Linked DNA regions of Mus musculus. The protein of the gene in region 1 purifies or fractionates together with the protein of each later gene. This does not show direct contact. Links are inferred from orthologs where the notes say so. Each region holds a gene or a part of one and is shown in the gene's direction. Other genes may lie near its edges.

What was found.
Region 2: the proteins of Clk3 (region 1) and Gpatch8 purify together in Homo sapiens (affinity purification with mass spectrometry; 3 studies listed by BioGRID and IntAct, counting the BioPlex papers as one, with this or other methods). This does not show direct contact. The link is inferred for Mus musculus from reciprocal best matches to the Homo sapiens genes CLK3 and GPATCH8.
Region 3: the proteins of Clk3 (region 1) and Psme3ip1 purify together in Homo sapiens (affinity purification with mass spectrometry; 3 studies listed by BioGRID and IntAct, counting the BioPlex papers as one, with this or other methods). This does not show direct contact. The link is inferred for Mus musculus from reciprocal best matches to the Homo sapiens genes CLK3 and PSME3IP1.
Region 4: the proteins of Clk3 (region 1) and Fkbp5 purify together in Homo sapiens (affinity purification with mass spectrometry; 3 studies listed by BioGRID and IntAct, counting the BioPlex papers as one, with this or other methods). This does not show direct contact. The link is inferred for Mus musculus from reciprocal best matches to the Homo sapiens genes CLK3 and FKBP5.

What each region holds. Positions count from the first base shown.
Region 1 is NC_000075.6:57,761,567-57,768,207, reverse strand, and holds the start of Clk3 (dual specificity protein kinase CLK3), read left to right. Parts: upstream 1-3,093; 5' UTR 3,094-3,134; exon of another isoform or gene 3,135-3,171; intron 3,172-3,322; exon of another isoform or gene 3,323-5,220; intron 5,221-6,340; coding exon 6,341-6,492; intron 6,493-6,641. UniProt on the Homo sapiens protein: Dual specificity kinase acting on both serine/threonine and tyrosine-containing substrates. Phosphorylates serine- and arginine-rich (SR) proteins of the spliceosomal complex.
Region 2 is NC_000077.6:102,474,527-102,480,398, reverse strand, and holds the end of Gpatch8 (G patch domain-containing protein 8), read left to right. Parts: coding exon 1-2,206; 3' UTR 2,207-4,484; downstream 4,485-5,872.
Region 3 is NC_000074.6:94,586,595-94,592,466, reverse strand, and holds part of Psme3ip1 (PSME3-interacting protein), read left to right. Parts: intron 1-764; exon of another isoform or gene 765-898; intron 899-1,102; exon of another isoform or gene 1,103-1,294; intron 1,295-3,059; 5' UTR 3,060-3,156; intron 3,157-3,553; 5' UTR 3,554-3,564; coding exon 3,565-3,691; intron 3,692-4,365; coding exon 4,366-4,464; intron 4,465-5,021; coding exon 5,022-5,143; intron 5,144-5,872. UniProt on the Homo sapiens protein: Promotes the association of the proteasome activator complex subunit PSME3 with the 20S proteasome and regulates its activity.
Region 4 is NC_000083.6:28,408,018-28,413,889, reverse strand, and holds part of Fkbp5 (peptidyl-prolyl cis-trans isomerase FKBP5), read left to right. Parts: intron 1-1,765; coding exon 1,766-1,856; intron 1,857-3,296; coding exon 3,297-3,380; intron 3,381-5,872. UniProt on the Homo sapiens protein: Immunophilin protein with PPIase and co-chaperone activities. Component of unligated steroid receptors heterocomplexes through interaction with heat-shock protein 90 (HSP90).

The sequences.
Region 1 (6,641 bases):
CTACAGCTGCTGCTGATTGCCAGATCTGCCAACAGCAGAAACCAACACTGAGCCCCAGATATGGCACCATTCCTCGAGGTGACCAGCCAGCAACCTGGTGGCAGGTTGACTACATTGGACCACTTCTGTATTAGTCAGGGTTCTCTAGAGTCACAGAACTTATGGATAGTCTCTAGATAGTAAAGGAATTTATTGATGACTTACAGTCGGCAGCTCAATTCCCAACAATTGTTCAGTCGCAGCTGTGAATGGAAGTCCAAGGATCTAGCAGTTACTCAGTCTCACGTAGCAAGCAGGCGAAGGAGCAGGAGCAAAGATCCTCTTTGGTTGGTGGCTTAGTCCCTGGGAGCTCTGGGGGATATAGTTGGTTGATATTGTTGTTCTTCCTATGGGGTTGCAAACCCCTTCAGCTCCTTTATTCCTTTCTCTAACTCCTCCATTGGGGACCCCGTGCTCACCTACATATCTTATATTCCCAGAACTTTGTCCCTCTTAGGTTGGCACCACCTTCCAGCAGGCCCCTCCCCCTTTAAGCAGATTGACTCTCTCCACTCCAGGCCCAAAGCCCCTCCTTGTCTTCCTACATCAGCATCACCCAAGTTCACTCTAAAACAGGCTGTGAGGACTGATCCTACACTCTGGCATAACATCCACAAGTCCACCCTACCTAGGCCCAAGAGGAAGCGAGACTTCCAGAGTTAGGGTGTTTCTTGCCCGATTTGGGAAGCAAAGCTGTGTTGAACTTCCAGAGTATTGGGTGATCGCTTCTCGGCCTTTTGGCTAAGATCAAGTGCAGAGTATTGGGTGAGAGCCAAGAGAGTGGCATCACAGCACAGAGAAGAACCTGACCTCTCCCAAGATACTTTCCAGGGAGGTGACTTTAGAGCTGAGGCTCAAATGTACATCAATTCATTCCAGGCAGGACAAAGCTAGATATAGCAGAGGAGAATTCAAGGGCAGACAGAAGAGAGAGCACTGGGGCCCACGAACCTGGGAGGGGAAAAGAAAGGTAGAGAGAAATAGAAGCTGTAGGAGTTGAGTACAAGCAGAACGGGACATCACCTTGGTGCCCTGGAGTCAAGCTACAGACCAGGCACACAGAAAAGGCTTGACAGGCCCAGGGCACAGGCTGGTGGAAGCTGGTGCTTTGGAGCAGTGGGTAAGCAGCAAGTCTCCTTCTGGGGGAGCGCAGGGCTGAGCAAGGGGTGGAGGAGCGGTTCCAAGGTTCCTCTCAACAGAGTACCACAGAGATGAGATGTGTATGCCGGGAGACGTTCATCAACCTAACTTTACTTCAGAACCAGTTCTTTTCTTCTGCTAGGTTTTATGAAGAGAGACAAGAGGACGAAGGTCTAATGGGAGACCATCCAGGAGGAAGGCCAAGCTGCAGCCTCTGGAGAGGACAGGGCTAGGAGACAGCTCCTATATCAGCTGTCAGCAAGAAGTCCTCTCTGTAGAGAGAGTGGGGGCTGTAGGCAGATGGCCCTGATTTTTCCTGTTAGGATGGTAGGCAGGAAGACGGTCTAAATTATCTCATTTCTGACACTTGGGGTAGGGCAGGAGATGGGAACTTTTTGAGGATGTCGGCCTTAAACTGGAGGATGCTATTTTCCCGTAGCCATGGAAACATGGCTGGGCAGCATTGGTAGGAGGTGACGACACCACAGAAACCTGTGAACGAAGGAAATTCTATCAGTGTGGGCCTGGCCTCAGGTGGGAGCTGCATCTTCTGACGCCTGGATATTTCAATCTTTGGCTTCTAGGCTGGAAACCAATGGGGCAGGACTCGGGCAGAAGCAGTTGAAATGGCTGTTGAATGTCTGTGGGGTTGGAAGGTGACTATGAGTCAGTTTGAGTTTGCAAAACATAATCACCCAGCTTTTTAACTCAACCGCTTTTACTTGGTTGGTGATGAAGATGCCGGGCCATTACGTCAGAACCAGAGGCAAAGCTCTCTAAAGGCAGTTTCATCACTGCAGGGGGGCCTAGGGAGCCACAGCACCTGGTGGGCGCGCATCCCGTACGGGGAGGGGACACCTGGGAAACCCTGGCTGTCCGCGTTGAGTCAGCAAGATCCTAAAGCTATGCCCCGCCCTGGCCGGCCGCCGCAGCCTCGCGGACCTCGCGTGGCGTGGGGCAATTAGGCGCGGCACCCGCCCGCTTGGCTGCGCGACGCGCGGGGGCGGGGACGCTGTCAAAGCGAGGCCCAACCAAAGGACCGCGACTTGTATTCTCTTCTGAAAAAAAAAAAAATAAGACCTCATGATCCTGCCACGACAAAGCGTTGGACAGTAGGTGGGAGGGGTCTAGACTGGGTGCCTCACGCCCGATGCCGCAGCGAAAGGACGGGCTGAGTGACTCGAGTGGCAGAGCGGGAGCGCGGCGCGGCTCGGGGCTTTTGTGTGGCGCGGGTTTCCTAGCAAGACTGACAGCAAGACGCTCTGAGGTGTTCAAGGGAAGGGGACGATTTCTCCGTCAGACCCCACCGCCGAGGCTCGCGGGGATCTTCCCGGAGACTGCTCGCTCGAGCCAGCTGGGGCGTGGCACCAGGACTTTCAAAAAACCCGCACAAGCCGAGAGCAGAATGTGTCGTTTGCTTCTTGCGCGCAAGCGGAGTCGCGCCCGCCTTCCTCTGCCCGGGCGCACCGACCGCCTTCGTCTCTAGCGCCCTCCCGGGCCCCGGGAGAACAATGCCGGTCCTCTCCGCGCGCAGGAAGAGGCTGGCGAGCACAGCTGGGCCGCGGCGGGGAAGCGGCCCCAGCCTGGCAGTCCGGTGGGTTCCTCCTTTAGGCCCAGAGCCGTCCTCAGACCGTGGTCGCGCACCGATGCGGCCTCGGGGGCCTACGTGCAGCACCACACGGAGAGGGGCAGGCCGCGGCCCGAGGCTGCTCCCGGGACCTCCGGGAAGAGACCTCCACCGATGTCGCCCGGACCCTGGCGGGGCAGGCCAGTCCCCCAGAGTCTGCGAGTTCGGGGCTAGAGCGGTCAGGCCTCTGGGCCGGGTCGAGCCCGGGCCGCCGACGGCTGCGTCACGCGAGGGGGCGGTGCTGCCACGGGCGGAGGCCAGAGCCGGAAGCGGAAGAGGCGCTCGGAGTGGGGAGTGGGGCCTAGCCGCAGCCGGAGCCTGGGAGACGGTGAGTGTGGGCCCGAGCCCGTGGCCGGGCAGCTGGGGTGAGTCGGTGGGGACGGCCACGCCGGTACGGGTACCGTGCCACCCGGTCGGGTCTCGGCTTGGACCTATTTCCCTCTTCGGCCCACGTCAGGCCGCGGTCCCGACCTCTCACCCCTGACCCGCCGCTTCTCTCCCTGAGGGCGGTCACTGCAGACCCCTTTTCTGGTTCCCGCGGTGTTGGAGGCGGAGCTCCAGCGGCCTCGGAGCCGGCTGGGAGGCTTCCCTTTGGGTCCCGCGCCGGCCCGCTGGCTGGGTCGCGTCCGACCTAGGCTATCCTGGAAAGGCTTTCCCTGCCCCGAGCTCGAGGCTTAGCCCGCAGATCTCCTTCGCGCGCCGCCTGGAGTTTGATTCTGGCCCAGGCTGGCCATCCCTTTGGTCGCCGGGTCTTCCCTTGGCGGTTACGGGGAACGGGGCTCTGAGATCCCTGGGATTCGGGCAGAAGGAAGGGACTCGAGTGCGGGCCGCCGGCCCCCTCCGTGTTTTGTTATGATGGAACCGCTCCATCCCGGAGAATGGGCCAGACCAAGCCAGGAGTACAAATGTCCAGGCTGCTCCTCGGTCCGGTCGGGAGCCTCTATGCTTTAGTTCCGGGTGCGGGTGCCCTGATGCTTGGGTGGGAATTGCCAGAGTCTAGCCCCCATCAAGGCGGAGTTGGCGGCCTTCCAGTTTCCCTCCTCCGTGCCCTTGAAAAGGAGGAGCGTTTTTGCCCGGTGGCAGCCGCAGATTGCGAGGTGGCAGGTTTGAGGTTGCAGTGGTGGGGCACTGCCAGCCAAAAATAACCATGGGTCGCTTGGGTGGCAGGAATCCGGGAGGGCAGCCGCTGACCTGGCTGGCTGCTCTTCTTGTTAGCCCGGTTCTCTAGCCAGGAACAGCAAATGAGAAGCCAGAGAGGCCTGTGCTCATAGAAAAATTGGCATCCAGTAACTTGGTCTCATTGGTCACATTGCCTTTTTCTTCATTGTTCAGAGCAGAGCCTCCCAAAGCATAATTGTGGCCTTTACGTTTTAAAAAGCTTCTTTGCCGAGGACTCATGGAATCGGAGAATTTGTGAGAAATAGGCTCAAACGACCTGGCTGGGAGGAGGACATGGGCCACCTGGTAGCTCCCATTTTTCACCTGCCTGGGATGCGTTGCAAGGGAGATTATCTCCATTACTGCCTATGTGTGGTACTTCATGGCCAAAATATTGGGCCATCTTTGCCAGTATGAGAGGTGTTATCTTCATTTTTCAGGCATGACAATTTAGGTCTAGAGTGACTTGTATAAGGCCACAGGGCCAGTAAGTGGCAACACTGGGATCGAGTTCAAGGTTTCCTGCCAAAACTTCCTACCCGGTCCCTTGGAAGGAATTATAAATTAAGGCATTCAACATAGCCCTGAGTGTTAGCCGGAACCTTCTCAGTGCTAATGAAAGGCTGTCTTTAGTACTTCTTGTGGCCCAAACCTGTGCTAGGCTTTTGACTTTATAGGGCAGACATTTAATTCCTATGGAGCCTGTAAGAGATTATTGTTCCCTTGTTTCAAGAGGAGGCTGAAGCTTAAAGTGGTTTAATAACTTGCCTAAAGGCAACAGTGAAGTGGTATTGCTGTGGAGCAGGTTGGCATTCGACTCTGAGGCTGTGACTTTCCACTCAAGTAGACATATGTGGTCATAGAAATCCACTTAGGTCCCAGAAGGAAAATTTTGGTCTGCTGTAGATTAGACCGCATTACAACATCCTCCAGATAGGATGCTTAGGGTGCTCTGTCTGCCTGGTGAGGATGGGCAGGACCACTTTGCCTTTTGGGAAGATGTATGCCTGGCCAGTAGGTTGTCTTTTGGGTCAGTTGGTGAGACATGGGCTACTGCTTTCAGGCTACAGCCTGAGCACCTGTCATAAGGTCATGGGGTGGGGGACATTCAGATAAGTGTGAAAACAACAGTGCCTTTCTTAGGGCTCCCAGAGGTTTACATAAATTGCCTCCCAATCCTGCTCATACACAAGTACCTATTTCATCTTTGGACTGTGCTGGTGAGATGGAGCAGCCTTGATGGATTTGTTTAAAAGGTGCTTGGCCAGGCAAGCCTAGGACTATGCACTACTAGAGGTTGGGTGTGAGCAATTGAAGGCTTGGAAAGCAAACAAGCTGTGCTCTCATGCCTGGCCATCTGGTGGACAAAATGTGAAGGGGCTGGATATGGGTGAAAACGGTGCCAGACTCACGTAGCCATCTCTCTGAACTGGCTGCTGATCCCATTTGGGAGTCTCCGGTATTGGATCTAAGTACTCCGTGGTTAAGGAATACTTGTCCTACTTCCCAGTGTAGACCTACAGCCACGTCTTCTTGGCTCCTTCAGAGATAGGGCACAAGAAAGAGTGCCGGAGTAGGAGGAGCTAGAAGGGATGGCTATGATGCTGTTAAAGAGGAAGCACCTGGTATGGGACTCTAGTTGGTCTGAGGGCCACTAAAATTTGCCTCAGGCAAGCAGCTTAGATACCTGATTGTGGCTCCTTTCTGGGCTGATACTCTGGATGGGTCAGCAAGAGCTGGGCAGGCCTTCTGGGCCCAGGCCCACTTGGCTGGAACCTGATAGGAGTAGGGACTATTGGTGAGACATTGTGTCTTTGCTCAAGGGTCAGAGTTCTCATTTCTACTGTGGTTCCTCACTGACTGAAGAGTTTTGAATTTCTTTGAGTTGAGTCCAGTTCATTGCTTTAGCCAGGCAAGTTTCAGTTTAGTACTTTGGCTCTGTGCCACCAGTTCATTAGCTCCAGGCTTCTAGAACATTTAGGTTATAGGATCCCATAGGCATGAAGAAATTGAGCAAAAAACCTCTCCATTCCTCCTGTCCTTGGCATCCCCGTGGCAGTGCTCAGCATCCCACTACATCTACTTCTGTATCTGGGCCCTGGCTTGCATAGTTTGAGTGTTCAGGCCCCTGGGCCAGGCTGGAGAGGCACCTGTTTGTTTATTCACTTGGCAGAGGAGGGAGTCATCCACCCATTGTCTGCTGTTCTGTCACTGTGACATCAGAGTTCTTCTTTACTTCATAAACCCCTGGGAGGGGCTACCCCTAAACAGAACAATGGGCCTCTTCTTCAGGAGCACCTGGCTGCACCAGGCAGCCCTGTGGCTGGAAGCAGTGAGCTGTGTGTTGAGCAGGGCTTTCTCTTTCTTGTGGCCTAGATGCATCACTGTAAGCGATACCGTTCCCCAGAGCCAGACCCATACCTGAGCTACCGCTGGAAGAGGAGGCGGTCTTACAGTCGGGAGCATGAAGGTCGACTACGATACCCATCCCGAAGGGAGCCTCCCCCACGGAGATCACGGTCCAGAAGGTGAGTGGGATCTGGGTGGGAAGAAGCTTTCCTCAGCTAGATGAGTAGAATGGCCCAGAGCTCTGCTGCTCTCAGGCTCCTTTAGATGGCTGCTTCTGCCCAGCCGCCCGTAGATTCTTGCCCTGACCTCTCTGGGATCCTTGCCTGTG
Region 2 (5,872 bases), on another chromosome or scaffold:
CAGTTGCCAAGATCACAGTGGGAGGAAACACAAAGGTGAACCACCAACTTCCTCCTGCCAGCGGAGAGCTAACACCAAACATAGCAGCCGGTCCAGCCATCGGAGCCAACCCAGTAGTGGTGATGAGGATAGTGATGATGCTTCCTCACACCGACTGCACCAGAAGTCTCCATCCCAGTACAGTGAGGAGGAGGAAGAGGAGGAGGAGGAAGAAGAGGAGGAAGATGAAGACTCCGGTAGTGAGCATTCTCGTAGCCGCTCTCGGTCTGGCCATCGCCATTCCTCACATCGTTCCTCCCGGCGCTCTTATTCTAGCAGCTCTGATGCCTCTTCAGACCAGAGCTGCTATAGTAGACAGCACAGTTACTCTGATGATAGCTATAGTGACTATAGCGACCGATCACGAAGGCACTCTAAGCGCTCTCACGATTCAGATGATTCAGACTATACCAGCTCCAAACACAGGTCTAAACGACACAAATACTCATCATCTGATGATGACTATAGCCTCAGTTGCAGCCAGTCCCGAAGCCGATCTCGGAGTCATACAAGGGAGCGATCAAGATCCCGGGGTCGAAGCCGCAGTAGCAGCTGTAGTCGCAGTCGAAGCAAGAGGAGAAGTCGCAGCACCACAGCCCACAGCTGGCAGCGAAGCCGAAGCTATAGCCGGGACCGGAGCCGCAGCACCAGGAGCCCTTCTCAGAGATCAGGCTCCAGAAAGGGCTCATGGGGTCATGAGAGCCCAGAGGAAAGGCGCTCTGGCCGCCGGGATTTCATTCGTTCAAAGATCTACCGCTCTCAATCCCCCCACTATTTCCAATCAGGTCGGGGAGAAGGTCCTGGAAAGAAAGAAGATGGCAGAGGAGATGACAGTAAAGGAGCAGGCCTGCCCTCCCAGAATAGCAATACTGGCACAGGAAGGGGGTCAGAAAGTGACTGCAGTCCTGAAGATAAGAATTCTGTTACTGCCAGACTGCTGCTAGAGAAGATCCAGTCCAGGAAAGTGGAGAGGAAACCCAATGTGTGCGAGGAGGTGCTGGCCACCCCTAATAAGGCTGGGCTCAAGTACAAGAACCCCCCACAAGGTTACTTTGGGCCTAAGCTCCCCCCGTCTCTTGGTAATAAGCCTGTTCTTCCAATGATAGGGAAGCTTCCAGCTACCCGGAAGTCCAATAAGAAATGTGAAGAGTCTGGCTTAGAAAGGGGAGAAGAGCAGGAACATTCAGAGCCAGAAGAAGGGTCCCCAAGGAGTAGTGATGCTCCATTTGGGCATCAGTTCTCAGAGGAAGCAGCTGGTCCCTTATCAGACCCTCCCCCAGAAGAGCCAAAGTCTGAAGAAGCTACTGCTGATCACTCTGTGGCTCCGCTAGGCACCCCAGCCCACACTGACTGCTACCCTGGGGATCCAGCCATCTCCCATAACTACCTCCCGGACCCCAGTGATGGGGATACTCTGGAGTCTCTGGATAGTGGCAGTCAACCAGGCCCTGTGGAATCCAGCTTGCTGCCTATAGCCCCAGACCTTGAGCACTTCCCCAATTATGCACCTCCCAGTGGGGAACCTAGTATTGAATCAACAGATGGGACTGAGGATGCCTCCTTGGCTCCTCTCGAGAGCCAGCCCATCACCTTCACCCCTGAGGAGATGGAGAAGTACAGCAAGCTCCAGCAGGCTGCACAGCAGCACATCCAGCAGCAGCTTCTGGCCAAACAAGTGAAGGCCTTTCCAGCCTCCACCGCCCTAGCTCCAGCCACACCAGCCCTGCAGCCCATCCACATTCAGCAGCCAGCCACAGCCTCTGCCACCTCCATCACCACTGTTCAGCATGCCATCCTACAGCATCATGCTGCAGCCGCTGCTGCCGCCATTGGCATTCACCCTCACCCCCACCCTCAGCCGCTTGCTCAAGTACATCATATTCCCCAGCCCCATCTAACCCCTATTTCTTTGTCCCATCTCACTCACTCAATTATCCCTGGCCACCCTGCCACCTTTCTTGCTAGCCACCCTATCCATATAATTCCTGCCTCAGCCATCCATCCTGGGCCCTTCACCTTTCATCCCGTCCCACACGCTGCCCTCTACCCCACCCTGCTTGCCCCACGGCCTGCTGCAGCAGCTGCCACAGCCCTCCATCTTCACCCACTGCTTCACCCCATCTTCTCAGGTCAGGACCTGCAGCACCCTCCCAGCCATGGGACTTGAGTTGGGAGTCGGAAGCCTGTGTTGAGCCAGGGAAGGTGGCCTGTTCTTCCCTTGGGGGTGTTGAGCCATTTATACCAGCAGGTAAAAGCTGGAACGGGCAGTGTCTTGACAGCCAAAGAAATGAGTTTTGGCTTGCAGGGATGGATTTAGATTTGAGGTTTGCTTTGGGTTTACTATCAGGGATATTTACCCCCTTTCTATTAGTCCCTCCCTCCTGTGTTTCTAAGCTAGGGAACACCAGTAAGTGCTACCCACACTCCTCTGCAGCAACATCTCCAGACTGTCAAGTAAGCCTCCTTCCTCCCTCTACTTTCTGATCCTCTGCACTTCCCCTCTGTAAGTTCAAAACATTTTCCTCCTCTAATGGGTTGTCACCAAAGCACTTGCCATGGGCCCATCTGGTCCTGCCTTCTCAGTGCCACGAGAAAGGCCAGGCTGTCTCTTCAGTGGTGAAAACTCCACTTTTCGGCAGTGTCTTTGACTATCCGTTTGTGACACGTTATCCCAGGTGAGGTGGAAGAGGGAGTCTAACCTAGAACCAAAAGCAACTCAGGCTGCAATTTGATCCACTTTCCTTACAAACAGAGCCATGCATTTGGCACTACTGTCCTCATGCCCCTCATCCCAGAAGAGGCATCTACATATCCCAGAAAAGAAGATCCTATCGTGAGTAGAAGCTACACTGAACATAGGGTCACCCATGTGCTTCCCAGAAAGGAGCTCGTGTCTGAAGGGTATATTTCCTTCTGTTATGTTGATGTTTTCTTCTTAATTTATAGGATTTTTTAATGTAAAATTGCACTGAACTCTATAAACATAAATGCTGCTTTTTGTAGCTCATATTAAAAAGGTTCCGTATTTGTAGTATACTGCAATAATATTTTTTACATCCAGCTCTTTAAGTGATCCTTGTTCTGGTGGCTTTCTGTAAATATGTTTGCCCTAGTTGAATTAAGAAACTTTAAAGGTTATAAAAGAAAAAAAAATAAAATATTTGTTTTCTGCTAGATGCAAAAATGACTAAGCATGTATATTTTATCAACCTCCTGTATTTTTTGAAGTTATGAACTATATAAAAATGTTGACACTTTTTTTTGTTTTGTTTTGTTTGCTGGGACAGTGTTAAATAATTTGCAGTAGTTGGTTCATCCTGCACTGGGACTCTCGGGTTGATGAGCAGCAGGCGGCTGCTGCTGTCAGGAGGATGCACAGTTGCAGTGGTCTCCCTGACGTGCTTTGTTATACAGAGAAACCGTGGACTCCATGGAGGAGGGGAGGATTGGTTCAACAGCTTTATTCTCTGGAAGCAGTGACACTCGGTGATTGTCTGGGAAAAGGGGTCCTTTGGTTTCCCTGGGTACCTTGTTCCAGACAGTCTTATTTGCCTTCCTAGTATTTAGCCCCCTCTGACAATTTTTTAAATGTGCCTTGTGGGTTGGCTAGACACTAAAATAGAAGTAGACCAGAGGATACTAGAGTTGGGACAGTTCTCTCTTTGTTGGGAGGTGAGCACGTTTATAGGTAGAGAGATTTTTGGCTTCAAAGTTCTGTGCCGTCTGCCCAGCTCGATTGCTATTTCAGCAGTAGAGGTTCCTTTTTTTTTTTTTCTCCAGTGACACTGACCAGAAGTCTGTCCATCCCTCTCCCCTTTGCCCTTCCCCCAGGCTCTCAGCCCTCCTTAACACTGACCCAAAGGTGCTTGTAATGCAGGTCTCATCTCCTTTGTTAGTGCTCTTCCTATGACTAGAACTGGTTAAGCAGTCAACTGACTGTTAACCCTGCTTGCCTAGGCCAAGGTTCTCTGTTCCTGCCTTCTCAAATTCCCAGCAGAGTGGGCTGTGTTAGGGAAGTGAGTGCTGGGCACTTGAGGCCCGTCCCTGCCTGAGCTTCTCCTACCTTCTGCTCATTGTCCCCTTACAAGTATCACTTTTAGGATAACTAGCCCTGGAAAAACGGTATCTGTTTGAAGTGAAGGGACTGGTTCTTCTTGCTTTCAGCCCGTGTAAATATTTAAATAAAACAGTATTAACATTTTTGTGCTGCTTCTCGTTAGGTTGTAGATCTAGCCATGCTCTGGCCGCCTCTGCCATCCTGGAGGTAGTTTTCCTTAACTTCCAGAATAGTGATTTTAAAACTTTAAAAAAAAAAAGGGGGGGGGATAACCTATCCTTACATACAAGCATAACAGATTGTATCTAACTTTATCACATATGATAGAGATGTATATGCTGTAAAGTGAGGGGAAGGAGCTTTCTAATAAACCAGTGCTTTGTGCAAACTTAGTGGAGTCTGTTGTGATTGCTGCTGCATAGGCTGGGGCAGGTGGGAGTGTGGGTTACAAACAGTGTCCTGTTGGACGCAGTCTGATAATGGGCCCTCTAGGCTAGCTTGAAATGTTGAAAATTGTTATGAGCACTCAGGTAGCCCATGATCAGGATTAGTTTACCTTAAGATGCTTTACCTGGATGCTTTTCCAGTCTTAGGCAGGTGACTGGAAGTGTGCACTTAAGATTCATCTGCTGAGCCTTTGACCTCCAGGTGAAATTCTGTATTACCAGGCTTGAGTTACCATAGTCAACTCTGATTACCGCTGTAATGTTGGAGTGCTTCTGCCTGGCCTATAAGCCTGAAGCCAGCAAAAGTCTTCATCCACACCAGGAAGTCACATCAGGAGGGGCAGGGAGAGCTGGCATGGAAGGGGTCCAGTGATGGCTTCCCTCTTCCTCAGTATCTCAGAGCTGTGTGATGTCTGTCTCCTCCCTTATTTGGATACAGTTGTTTGCTCTCTAGCTACCACAGCTGAGTGCTCAGAACTGTGCTTCAAATGCCAAGCATCTTTGTTCAGACAGTGATAGAAATTGAAAAGTGCATTTCTGAGAGCAAGGAAGGTGGCAAGCAGAAAAGACAAGGCCGCATAGCCTGAGCTCTGTCAAGTCAGTTGTTTTATTCTGATAAGGGCTCAGCCAAGCTAGTCTTGAAACATGAAAGTACTCCCTCTTACACCCTGGAGGACTATTTATCTATTCTTGTTGCCACAGAAAGCTCCACCTCACCCACACCAACTCAACCAGCTCTTTCCTAGCTGGCGTTCCTTGGCTAGAATCTAACCCCCTGCCCCATTAAAGCGTTGCATCTTTTCTGAACCCAAGTGCCATTCATCCTACATTCAGTGCTTCAAGTAAAGTAGCGCACGCCTTTAATCCCAGCACTCAGGAGGCAGAGGCAGGTGGACTTCTGAGTTCATAGGCCAGCCTGCTCTACAGAGTAAGTTCCAGGACAGCCAGGGCTACACAGAGAAACCCTGTCTTAAAAAAAAAAAAAAAAAGTCAATCATAAGCTTTGAGAGGACATTTTTCTTAATGTAGGAATGCTCTTGTCTACATGTATACCTACATGCCAGAAGAGGGCATCAGATCCCTTTTGTAGATGGTCATGCATCACTGTGTGGTTGCTGGGAATTGAACTCAGGACCTCAGAACAGCCAGTGTTCTTTACCACTGAGCCATCTCACCAGTCCAGCAAGGTAATTTTTAGATCTCCGTAAAAAGAGATGAAAAAGCCGTAATAGAAGCTTGATGGTTGTAGATTAAATGATGCTTAGACAGAACTGGGTTCCTTGGCATTCCATGCCCACAGACTGATGGAATAGGAAAGCCAGTCCTCAAC
Region 3 (5,872 bases), on another chromosome or scaffold:
GCTTGCAGGAAGGAGTCTCCTTTTCCTCCCACCATGTGGATTCTGGGAGTTACACTCGGGTCATCAGGCTTGGCAGCACACGTGGTTACTCTCTGAGGCATTTGCTGGCCTGTTTTTTGAGATATGTCTCAGGTATTCAAGAGTGGCCTTGAACTCTTGATCCTCCTATATCTGTCTCTTGTGCTAGGATTACAGGCATACATGTGCCACCAAGCCAGGCAAGTTCCACTGCTTTGAAGCACGTTTATATCCATCTTGTAAGATTAGAATACTGGATGTTTTCCTTTGAAAAGCAGCAAGTTTAGAGTAGGATTACCTTTTTATAATAAAGCCTTGTTGTGTTGGAGAAGAGTCACCTTTTGTCATCTCAAAATTTATGTGTGGATTCCATAGGAACAGAAATTTCAGAGCAAGAACTGTAAAGTGGAGAGGGAGCTGGTTCCCTGGAAATGGAGCACGGGGGCCTGTCTTGAAGGTCTAAAATAGGAATTGCTGATGCTGTTTTTGATGTGTGTGATGGATTCTGATGCCAGGAGGAGGCTGTGAGGGCCTGTCCTGTCGTGAGTTATTTACTAGGAGTAGGGGGAGGAAATAGGAGTAGGGGGAGGAAAGTAGACACTTGATACAGGGTGGGAAGGGAGACGTACAGCAAATGGTAGAAAGGAGAAAGCAAGGGTCCAGCGTGACTCCCATTTCCCCAGTGCCTGCATGGCTCACATTCTTTGCTGGGGACATTTCATAAGCTGTTGGCTCTTTCTCCTTAGAAATTGCTCCAAAGAGCTTGAGGAATTCTGCTAAGTCACAGAGACAAGGTAATCCTGCTTTTGTCCTGAGTACCTGGCTGCAGGCATCGAGCGGTACCACATCCCTATATCTGAAGAAGTGCACTGTGGGCCAGGTGGGGTAAAGCCTTCTCTCAGGTGACTTAGTTTTCTTTCTAGTGATTGTCAACAGTTCTCATTTTTCACATGGAACTAAACCTCAACAGTAGGATGGATTCAGGCTGAGATGATTTCTTCTGTTTTGAATGTTTGGTTTTAATGCCCTAATTCCTTTTTTTTTTTTTTTTTTTTTTTTTTAATATCTTTACCAAACAAAAACTTTGCATTCTGGGCACTGGAATTTGAAAATATAGCTGAAATTGATGTGCCCTTGTTTTCTCGTGTGTTTCTCCCCAGGCTGAAGAGTGAACCCAGAGCCTGCATTCCCAACATAGTAGTTTGAATGAGAATGGTCTGTCTCTCTAGGCGCATATTTGAACGCCTAGTTGGTTGAACTGTTTGGGAAGGATTAGGTGAGGCCTGTTTGAAGGAGGTCACTGGAAGTGAGCTTTGAGGTTAAAGCCCCTCTGCATTCCCAGTTACCTCGCTGTCTGCCTTGTGTTTATGGATCAAGATGTAAGATCTCTCAGCTACTGCCTCAGCGCCGTGCCTGGCTGCCTGCCTGTTGCCATGCTCCTCACCCTGATGGTGATGGGCTCTAACTCCCTGGAAACTTGATCCCCAAATTAAAACCTGCCTTCTATCAGTTGCTTCAATCACGTTGTGTTTTCACAGCAAGAGAAAAGTAAGACCCCAGCCCTTAGGCTTTTGAAATAAGGTCTCACTGCGTGGCACATGCCAGATGGGCCTCTAGCCCACTTTTCTTGCCCTAACTTTCCGAGGGCTGAGACTGCAGGGATTGGTTACCATGTCCAGCCATGTCTTTGTTTATCTGAGACCACGTGGTTGAGGAGGAGGAGGAGGAGGAGGAGGAGGAGGAGGAGGAGGAGGAGGAGGAGGAGATGGATGCAAATGTGATTTCTTAAGGTATCATTATGTAGTTAGTGCAGGCTGGCCTTGAATATTGCTGTGTATTCTAGGCTCATCTTGAACTTATGATCCTCCTCCAGTCTTCATGAGCATAGGGTTTACAGTCATGTGCTATCACACCTAGCTGAGAATATGAAAATTAGATGTCAGACTTGAACTTGATCCTTTCTTTTCTTTTCTTTTTTTTTTTTTTTTTGGTTTTTCGAGACGGTTTCTCTGTGTAGCCCTGGCTGTCCTGGAACTCACTCTGTAGACCAGGCTGGCCTAGAACTCAGAAATCCACCTGCTTCTGCCCCCCAAGTGATAGGATTAAAGGCGTGTGCCACCATGCCCGGCTGTTTGGACTTGATCCTTACCTCTGCCACTTGCTGCCTATATGCTTTGAGCAGCTCACTGAGCCTGGGGGTCAGCTTCATCTGTGAAGAGTCTTTCTCATGGGCTCTATATGCAGAGAAACTCGATAACATGCAAAAAGTACATAACACAGGCGAAGCGCTTTAAATTGTTAGTTGCTTTTTGAGGCTGCAGACTTTTTTAAAAATTATTTATTTTTTTATGTATGGGTATTTTGCCTACATGTATGTCTGTGGCATACATATGGTAATATGTATGCACCAAAGCCAGAAGAAGGAGTGTATCACCTGGGGCTAGCATTATAGACAGTTTTAAGCTAAAATGTAGGGACTGGGAATTGAACTAGGAGGAAGTCAGAGCTCTTAATCACTGAGCCCTCTCTTTAGCCCCAGACTTAGTTTCTAATGAACTGTTAGATGGGTTGTCAAAGGTTATCTAGGAATAGACATTGGGTTGGGTTGCATTCGTGCCTCTTTGGTAATATTGTAGCGAACACAGAATATGTCTGAGTAGACGATTAACCGTAATTCTTCAGAAAAAAAATAAAAAGCCAGCAACCCAAGGTTTGTACATCCTAGGCAAGTGCTATGGCACTGAGTTACACCCCAGCTCCAAAATGTTGACTTTTAAAAGGAAAAGACGTCCCCATCTTTATTTCCTTCTTCCTGCTTCTCCGAAGAGTTGAAGAAAAAGAAGAGAGGAAGTTTGGTGTCTTCTACATCAGTATATGCATTAAGGGCTCGGGCCTGTAGGGGTAAAGAGGGCCACTGCTTCACAGGGACGACAGGCAGGGTCGATGGCAGCAGCTGCTTACTGTGGAGAGCGTTGGGCTGAACGTCAGGTGGGCCTGGCTCTTCTGCTTCCACTCTTTACACTCGTGTCTTGTTGTCCTAGATCTGCCACCTCCCTCCTTCATAGACGGGACTTGACTGCTAAAGCGCCTTGAGTACCTGAGAGTCTCCATTAGAATCTGCTTTGGAAGCAAGAACAGGTAAATCAAGGCAGTGAGATGGCAGCTGAAAGAAGGTGGCAAATCTTATAGCTGTGAAGCAGGATGTGAGCTGAGAACAGGTGTGGAGCCCAGAAGGCCCATTTGTCTAGAGTGCTGCGACAGGGAAATAGCTTCCGTGTGACATGCTGTGGAACGCAATGTCAGAGTGATCCTAGAATCTCTCAGTGACTGTGGATAGCACAGATGTGTGCTGTCTGATAAGCCAGAATAAACCCCACGTCTCCAGTGCCGAACATAGGTGTGCACTATCACACCGGTGTATGTGGTGCAGGGATGCTAGGCAAGCATTGTACCAGCCGAGCTACATCCCTACCCTGCTCCTAAGGATTTGAATTGTAGTTCTCCTTTGATTTTTTTTTTTTTTTTTTTTCTGTAGACTGTACCATTATGGATGGAGAGGACGATAGTAACCTTGTCATCAAAAAGAGGTTTGTGTCTGAGGCAGAGCTAGATGAGCGGCGCAAAAGGAGGCAAGAAGAATGGGAGAAAGTGCGAAAACCAGAAGACCCAAAAGGTACGTAGATAGACCTAGAGTTGGACATCATTCATTTAACCTTTTTCTAAAAAACAATAATTTGTTTTTATATGTATTGGTGTTTTGCCTGCATGTGTGTCTGTATGAGGGTGTCAGATGCCCTAGAACTGGAGTTAAAGACAGTTGTGGGCCACCATGTGGTTGCTGGGAATTGAACTCAAATCCTCTGGAAGAGCAGCAAGTACCCTTAACCACTGAACCAGCGCTCCAGCCCCTCATTTAACTCTTTAATCTTCGCAAAAACTCTGCCAAGAAGGTGATAACTGTCCTCACTAGAGGCTCCCAGGGTGAAGTAAGCTATATGAATTCTCCACAGCAGAACCAGTACTCCGTATTTACCCTCCTCCCCCCACCATAGCGCCTGCCAGGAGATTCTGCTAGTTGCTTGCTTGCTACAAGTGGAGGGGCAGTTTGAACTGAGATGCTGCTAATAGGTTTGAACTGGCTGCCCATCCAGTTAGTAACGTGACATTAATAGTTGTCTTTGAAAACCGCCTGCCCCCTTCTGTATGAGGTGCAAAGGGAAACTAGACTTTGTGTTATTTTCACCCTCAGATATATAGAGACTTAACTATTTTTCCAACTCTTTGTGATTCCAAAATAATATGAAACAACCTAAATTCTGTGTCTCCTTTATCCCGTGTCCCTTTCAGAATGTCCAGAGGAGGCGTATGACCCTCGGTCTCTGTACGAACGGCTGCAGGAACAGAAAGACAGGAAGCAGCAGGAGTATGAGGAGCAATTCAAATTCAGTAAGCTTCTGAAAATGGACGTTTGAGGGACTCACTGAGCCTTTTGATGTACTTTAGCCTCGTGAAACCATCTTTGTTACTAGCAATAGAATATCTTGATTATCCAGCCTCCAGGAGCTCAATTCAGTGGATAAAAGACCATCTTCTGCCTTCCTTCTGACTTAGAGCTTAAGATATGATTTGAATTCTGTGCTAATTTCTAGTAATGTGAGAAATGCTTTGACTTGATGCCATGCTATTTATTAAAATTATGGTGTTTAATAATTCTTCCTTGTAATTGCCCAAAGAATCTGCTGCTTGTTTAAAAAGGAAAACGGCCAGCAGTATGGTTCATGAGTACCAGTGCTGGTTGTGTGAGCTAACAACCTGCGTTGATCCCCAGATCCCACAGTTGGAAGGAGAGAATCGACTCCCAAGGGCTATCCCTTAGCCGTCACGTGTGTGCCCTGGAGCATGTGCACACGCACCGAACACAGAATAAACGTGTGGGGAGGGAAGGTCAGAGAAGGTTGTTTGTCTCAGTCTCCTTAGTGCTTCTTGTTCACTTATTTCCTCAGAAAACATGGTAAGAGGGTTAGACGAAGATGAGACCAACTTCCTTGATGAGGTTTCTCGGCAGCAGGAGCTGATAGAGAAGCAGCGGCGAGAAGAAGAACTAGAGGAACTGAAGGAGTACAGAATATCCTTTGTGCTTAGAGAGAAATGCCTCGCTTTCCTCAGGAGTATAAAGAGGCCTTCCACCTGGCCCTTACAGTTTGTCAGCACTGATGTCTCTGATTCTGAGTGATTGATTGGCTGTGACTAGTGGGGTGTGTTGTATGTGCATATCTATTGTAATCAAAATTCCATGTTTTTCAGGATTAGCCAGGCATAAATTCTCACAGTCAGTAGCGGGGTATTCTTGCCTTGTAGAATTAGACTTAGATGGGCGTTGTAGCCAATCTCACTGGGGAGACATTATCACGTGAGATTTAAAAAGTCATGTTTCTGGTCTTTTCTATGTATGTGCACACAGTGCATGCTTACTGAAGTCAAAGAGAATCTCATCCAGTGGCCCTCTCTCCCACTGCTTTAGGCCCTTGGATAGGCTCTCTGTGAACCTGAGCCCTGCTATGCCAGCTAAGCTGCCTGGCCAGTAAACTCCTAGGGTCTGCCTGTCTCCACCATGCCTGGTTTGGACAGTCATGCTCAGGATTGGAACTTAGGTCCCCATGCTAGCCCAGACAGTTACTGAGCCTTCTCCCCAGACCTAAAAGGGCCTGTTCAGAAACACTCTGCTTACTCTTCTGGTTTTAGCAAGATTAGACTATCCTCCCATACACTGCGAACTACTCCCGAAGTGGGCTCAGGGAACAAGGACAGTCATTTTACTTTGACTTAATAGTGCCTTGTTGGAAACATCTACTTG
Region 4 (5,872 bases), on another chromosome or scaffold:
ATAGATAATTAAATATTGTGACTGATTTCTATGTAGGCTAAGTATAGATGACTACTTTTTCCTTCCTTTTTCTTTATACCTGTTTTGTAACAGTCCCAGACAAACCATAGGCTGTTGAGAGTGGTCAGTGTGTGTCAGCCTTAGTTATCTTAGGACAGGAAGGTCTGAATGTGGTTCTGCCTCTATATCACCTCTCAGAAAGCACATGTCTCTGGCCTCCGCTCTCTCACCTGTAAGAAGTAGCTGGCGAGGGCATTCACAATGCTGTGTTCTGCAGGGTTGGCTGTCCCTCCACGCCCTTAGTGTATCTTCCCTCCAAGGCAGCTGCCGTCCAGAGGCCTTGACTCTGGACTTCCATTTCTGATGGTTGTGAGCCACCATGTAGTTGCTGGAAATTGAACTCAGGACCTCTGAAAGAGGTCAGTGCTCTTAACAACTGGCCCATCTCTCCAGCCTGTAAGTTTCTTTTAGACAGGTTTTCATGTCCTCAGTACTATGGATGTTTGTGGTGGATCCCAGTTGTGGCAGAAGAGGGTTGTCCTTGTCCCATAAGGTGTGCAGTAATATGTCTGACACCTACCTGCCATCCAATAGCAACTCTAGGCATTGCTTAATGTTCCTCTGACAAAGAAGGGTTAAACATCAATCCAGGTAAGTGACATGGTTCCAAAGTGATGCCAGGTCATCTGTCATATTCTTTCCTCCCTGGTAAAGACTGCCAATCATAGCATGCTCTCAGCAACAGACTTGAGAAGTACCCATCTGTATGCCTTCTTTGCAGCGAAGAGAGGGACAGACCTTACCACAGGCAACACACACACATTCATACTCCAGGGAAAAAACCCTGGCTACGTTTCCAACATTGCCACTGGCCATTGCTCCCTTTTCGAGTGATGCCCTCTGCACGGTGTTAAGGCTGCCACCCAGTTCTTCCCCAGCTCTGTGTGCCTCTGCTCCAGCTGTGCCTTTTCTTTTCTTTTTTTTTTTTTTTTTTTTTTTTTTCGAGACCGGGTTTCTCTGTATAGCCCTGGCTGTCCTGGAACTCACAACTCACTTTGTAGACCAGGCTGGCCTTGAACTCACAGAGATCCATCCATCTGCCTCTGTCCCCCAAGTGCTGGGATCGAAGATGTGTGCCACCACCTTGTATTTGTGCCTTTTAAAGTCTTTAATGCCACGAGACTTTAGGATCATGAGAGCTGTTGTCTCTGCTAATGTGTTGCCCCCTGCAGTTTTTCTGATTGGAGGTAGTACTCTTGGAAGTTGACCCTTCCTTAAAGTGAAAAGCTTGTTTTGAGTACACATGGACATGTGGGAAAGAGTTCCTGTGGGGGAGGGAGTGGTGAGGGAGCTGGGGTAAAATGAGAAATTCTATATACAAGTACGAAACTGTAACAGAACAGTAAAAACAATTGTAATAAAATAGCAAAAATGTTAAAAGTATTCAAACAGAATTATAGTGATTTTTACTACTATAATAATTATAGTAATAGACTCTTCTGTCCTTTCTGCTCATAAAGCTTAAAGGAAAAAAGTCCTTGTAACCAAACAGAAAAGAATAAAGTCTAAAACCAGGCATCGATATTGAACAGCATGCTAAGCACACTGTCCTAGGGAGTACAGGAACTGTGCGCCTGCGCTAAGAGAGCATGCGCTAAGAGAACACGATGCAGCAGGTCTCAGGAAACCACAGCAGGGATTCCACACAGAAAACCAAAGAAGTATACCAGTCCTCCTGAGTCTTGTTTTTTCCTCTCCGTTTCAGCTATGGTTTTGGAGAAGCCGGGAAGCCTAAGTTTGGCATTGACCCCAATGCTGAGCTTATGTACGAGGTCACCCTTAAGAGCTTCGAGAAGGTGAGCAAACCCAACTTCGCTAAAGCTGTGGTGTGGGGTCTTCTCATCCTGTGCCTGTAACTGTGCGGTAGATGACTTGGCTAAATAGTGTTTGTTTCTGTGTTTGCTTTTCTTCATCCATGACTCTTGTCCCCCACACTTCTGCTCCGAGCGTGGGAAGCTGACACAACACAGTTGATACAGGAGAGGAGCTGGTGTTCTTATTTTTTACTGTGTGTTAGCCTCTTTTTTTCTTTTAACTTTTGGGTAGAATCCAAGACTTGTTCCTGTATTTGTTCCTAGGCTTGTTCTTTTTGTACTTTTTTTTCCTGAGTTGAGGACAAAAAAGTTCACGTACTGCCAAGCAGCTCCTTAGGGGAGTTGGGGTGCAGCCTTTCAGTGCTGAAGGAATTGCACACTCCACAGGAGTTACAAAGAGGCCTCCGCTGGGGCTCCAGGTTACAATCCCAGTGTCTCAGCCTCGGGACCAGCAGCTGCAACCAAGGAGAAGAAACAAACGTACCCAGGCTGTTTCTCATACGTGTCCAAGAACAGGAGAGGGAACTTGCCGTGGCCTTCAGGCTGGTGTACCTCCTCGGACAGCCTCCAACTCTGGGCTGTCTTTGCAGGCTCCCACCTGTACTGCACGGTGTCCCCATAAGCTGAGTAAGCTGTCATCCTCAGCTGTGGCTCCCCTCAGAGACCGCCTTTCTTATTACGATTTTATTCCTCTGAAATGACCCCATGCTCTGTCCACGCTGGACTATCGGGGCCTCGAGTTTCCCTGCCCTTTCCATAGTGGAACCTCTACCCTTCTCCGTGCTTTGTGACAACATGGCATGCCTGCCATCTAATCCTGTCACTCGGGAGGATCAGAAGTCAGTCTCAGCTACGTAGTAAATGGAGGCTTGCCTGAGATACATGCAGTGCTGTCTGGAAAAAAGAAAAGAAAAAGTTCCCCAGGTCCACACCTGCAAACTGATCCTGTTAGAGGCCATACTGCATCTGGTTCTGTGAATTCAGAGACAGCTGCCTGAACTGGGATTTTAGAAGTGCTCCATGCACGTGCAGCTTGGCCTGGACCATAAGTAGCAATCTCACTTCCAAGCTGGAAAGCAAGCCTGACAGAAACAGCCTGCTAACGTGACAGCAGCCCATAGTGAGGGAGCTTTGGGGCTCCAGGTTACGATCCCAGTGTCTCTAAGGAGGGAGGCTTGCTTTGTCACCCTCAAAATGCAGTCTGTGAGAGTGCTCCGTGCTTGTGTTCCTTGGACAACACAGGTCAGACCACAGCTTGCTATGGCATGTGCTCTTAGTGGAACACCGGTGCATTGGCCTGCTGGTATCCCAGCAGCGGCCCACAGTTGCTGGGGTCTCATAGAGATCGCTGCTGTCCCCCAGGCATGAACTGCTGCGTTTCCTCCTCTCCTCAGCTAACTGACGCCACAAATCTCTACACAGGCCAAAGAATCTTGGGAGATGGACACCAAAGAAAAGCTGACGCAGGCTGCCATCGTGAAAGAGAAGGGAACTGTGTACTTCAAGGTGTGTGAGTCTCTAAGTCCTTTCCATGTGGGGATACCTACCCAGTATCCATCAGCACCCTGTGCTGAGACGCACCCTCAGTTCTCACAGGCCTGCTGTGCTCTGTAGGAGGATTAGTGAGCAGAGTGAGTTCGTGTGCAGGAGGTAATGCAGAGGCCTCTTCTGTGTGCTGTGAGCAGGTGGAGCTTCCTCAGGAGCAGGCGAGGTGGACCAGACCTGGCTCGCTCGAGTGTGTGTGTCCCAGGTCAGAGTTCACAGGGGCGGCTCCAGCCCGCTCCCCCCTGACAGGTGAGACAGGAAAGGCCTTGCAGATCCCCCAGTTCACTTTGGATGATCTCTCTCAGGTTGCCGTGCTGTGGCTGCTTTTATGTAACTACAATGAAGGCAAGTCTCCTCCTGATTGTTTTAATTATAATTTTCAATTGAAATTTTTTTTAGGCTGGAGAGATGGCTCAGCAGTTAAGAGCATTGGCTGCTTTTCCAAAGGTTCTGAGTTAAATTCCCAGCACCTACATGGTGGCTCACAGCCATCTGTACAGGGATCCGATGCTCTCTTCTGACATGCACGTGCGCATGTGCAGAGTACTCATAAATAAAATAAGTAAATAAAAAATAAAAACAAATCTTAAAAATGTTTTAAAACATTTTCGCTCTTTAAATTAAAACAGCAGCTTTCACAGCAAATATCCTCAAAATAAATGTTTAATATTTAAGGTTTTATCAAGAAATATATCATTACTTATCAGTACCACTATTAACTGAGCAACAAGATAAAGATGCCATTAATGATACTGGCTGAGGGGCTGGCGAGATGGTTCATCGGGTAAGAGCACTGACTGCTCTTCCAGAGGTCCTGAGTTCAAATCCCAGCAACTACATGGTGGTTCACAACCACCCATAATGAGATCTGATGCCCTCTTCTGGTGCGTCTGAAGTCAGCTACAGTGTACTTACATATAATAATAAATAAATCTAAAAAAAAAAAAAAAATGATACTGGCTGGGTACCAAAAAGGCCCTGCAGACCGGCATGGATGACCAGGCTCGGCCCTCCCAAGAACCTGATGAGGAGAAAACACTGAGCCTTGTGGCCACAGTGATAAGATGTCACTTACAGCTGCCCCAGGGAATTACTGCCTCTCCAGAGCCCTGTCTCCTCAGGACCCAGGAACCAGTGCTTTATCCCCCAGGGCTGACACCCACACTCATTAAGTGAAATTTCGGAGTGCTGTGCCCATTGCTTGCCAGCCCACTTCCAAATTCCTGCTGTCTCCACATCAAGTGAAGGGCTTCTCGATGAGTGTTCAGAGCGGGCAGTCTTCTGCTGGGCCAAGTGATGCTGTGCAAGTGGCTGACTCCTGTCTCTGCCTTGTAGTGTGGAGACCCAAGCCAGAAGCCAGCTTTGTTGGCACACCTTTAAGCACAGGGCTCTGGAGGCAAGTGTATGTATGTGAGTTTGAGGCTAGCCTGGCCTACAGAGCAAATTCCAAACAACTAGGGCAACACAGTGAAGCCCTGCCTCAAAAAAAAAAAAAAAAGGACTTGGAGGGAACCCAAGTTTTCTTTGCTTTTTCTTTCTTTTACCAGCAGTCTTTAAACACAATTATTGGGGTTTTTGTTTGTTGTTTGGGTTTTTTTTTTTTTTTAAGATTTTATTTATATGTAAGTACACTGTAGCTATCTTCAGACACTCCAGAAGAGGGAGTCAGATCTCATTACGGATGGTTGTGAGCCACCATGTGGTTGCTGGGATTTGAACTTCAGACCTTTTGAACTCTGGACCTTCGGAAGAGCAGTCGGGTGCTCTAATCCACTGAGCCATCTCACCAGCCCCTGGGTTTTGTTTTGTTTTGTTTTGTTTTGTTTTTTATAGCACTATAAAGCAGAGACCTGAGGCTACTCTTCATGAGCCTCTGTACTGAGAAATGCTGTCACATCTACTACTGACTTACATTAGGGGGTTGGAACAAGAACACCATGTGGGACAACTGCAGAACTATGGGGCCATAGTCACCTCAAAAGAAACACTGGCAGAGACAGTGTGTATTTGTAACAAAGTTATAAACTAACGTATGACTCATGGGCAGCCAAGCAGATGGCGATAGGAGCCCTGAGCAGGGATCTGGAAATGGAGCTGTCCCTTCCATGTCATTGAGGCCAATCACCTGTGTTGCAGGGAGCCTTTCAGGGGTGATAAGTATATTTCAACATGTTTCAAATCTTCCTAAAATGACCAATCTGGATAAAATCTGGATCACTAGTCACACATACGGAACACATTATTTTTAACATGTAATCTGATAGACAGGATCTTTCAAAACATCAGTCTGTTGGGGGGAAAAAAATTAATGAAAGGTTCAAAATCACTGACCTAAGACTTACCCCAGAATGTCTCTGAACATTTTGTCTCACCAAGCACTTCCTGGAGGCTCCTTCCTCATTCTAGGTGAGGAGCAAGGCACCGCCCACCGCCGCCCCACCCCCCCACCCCCC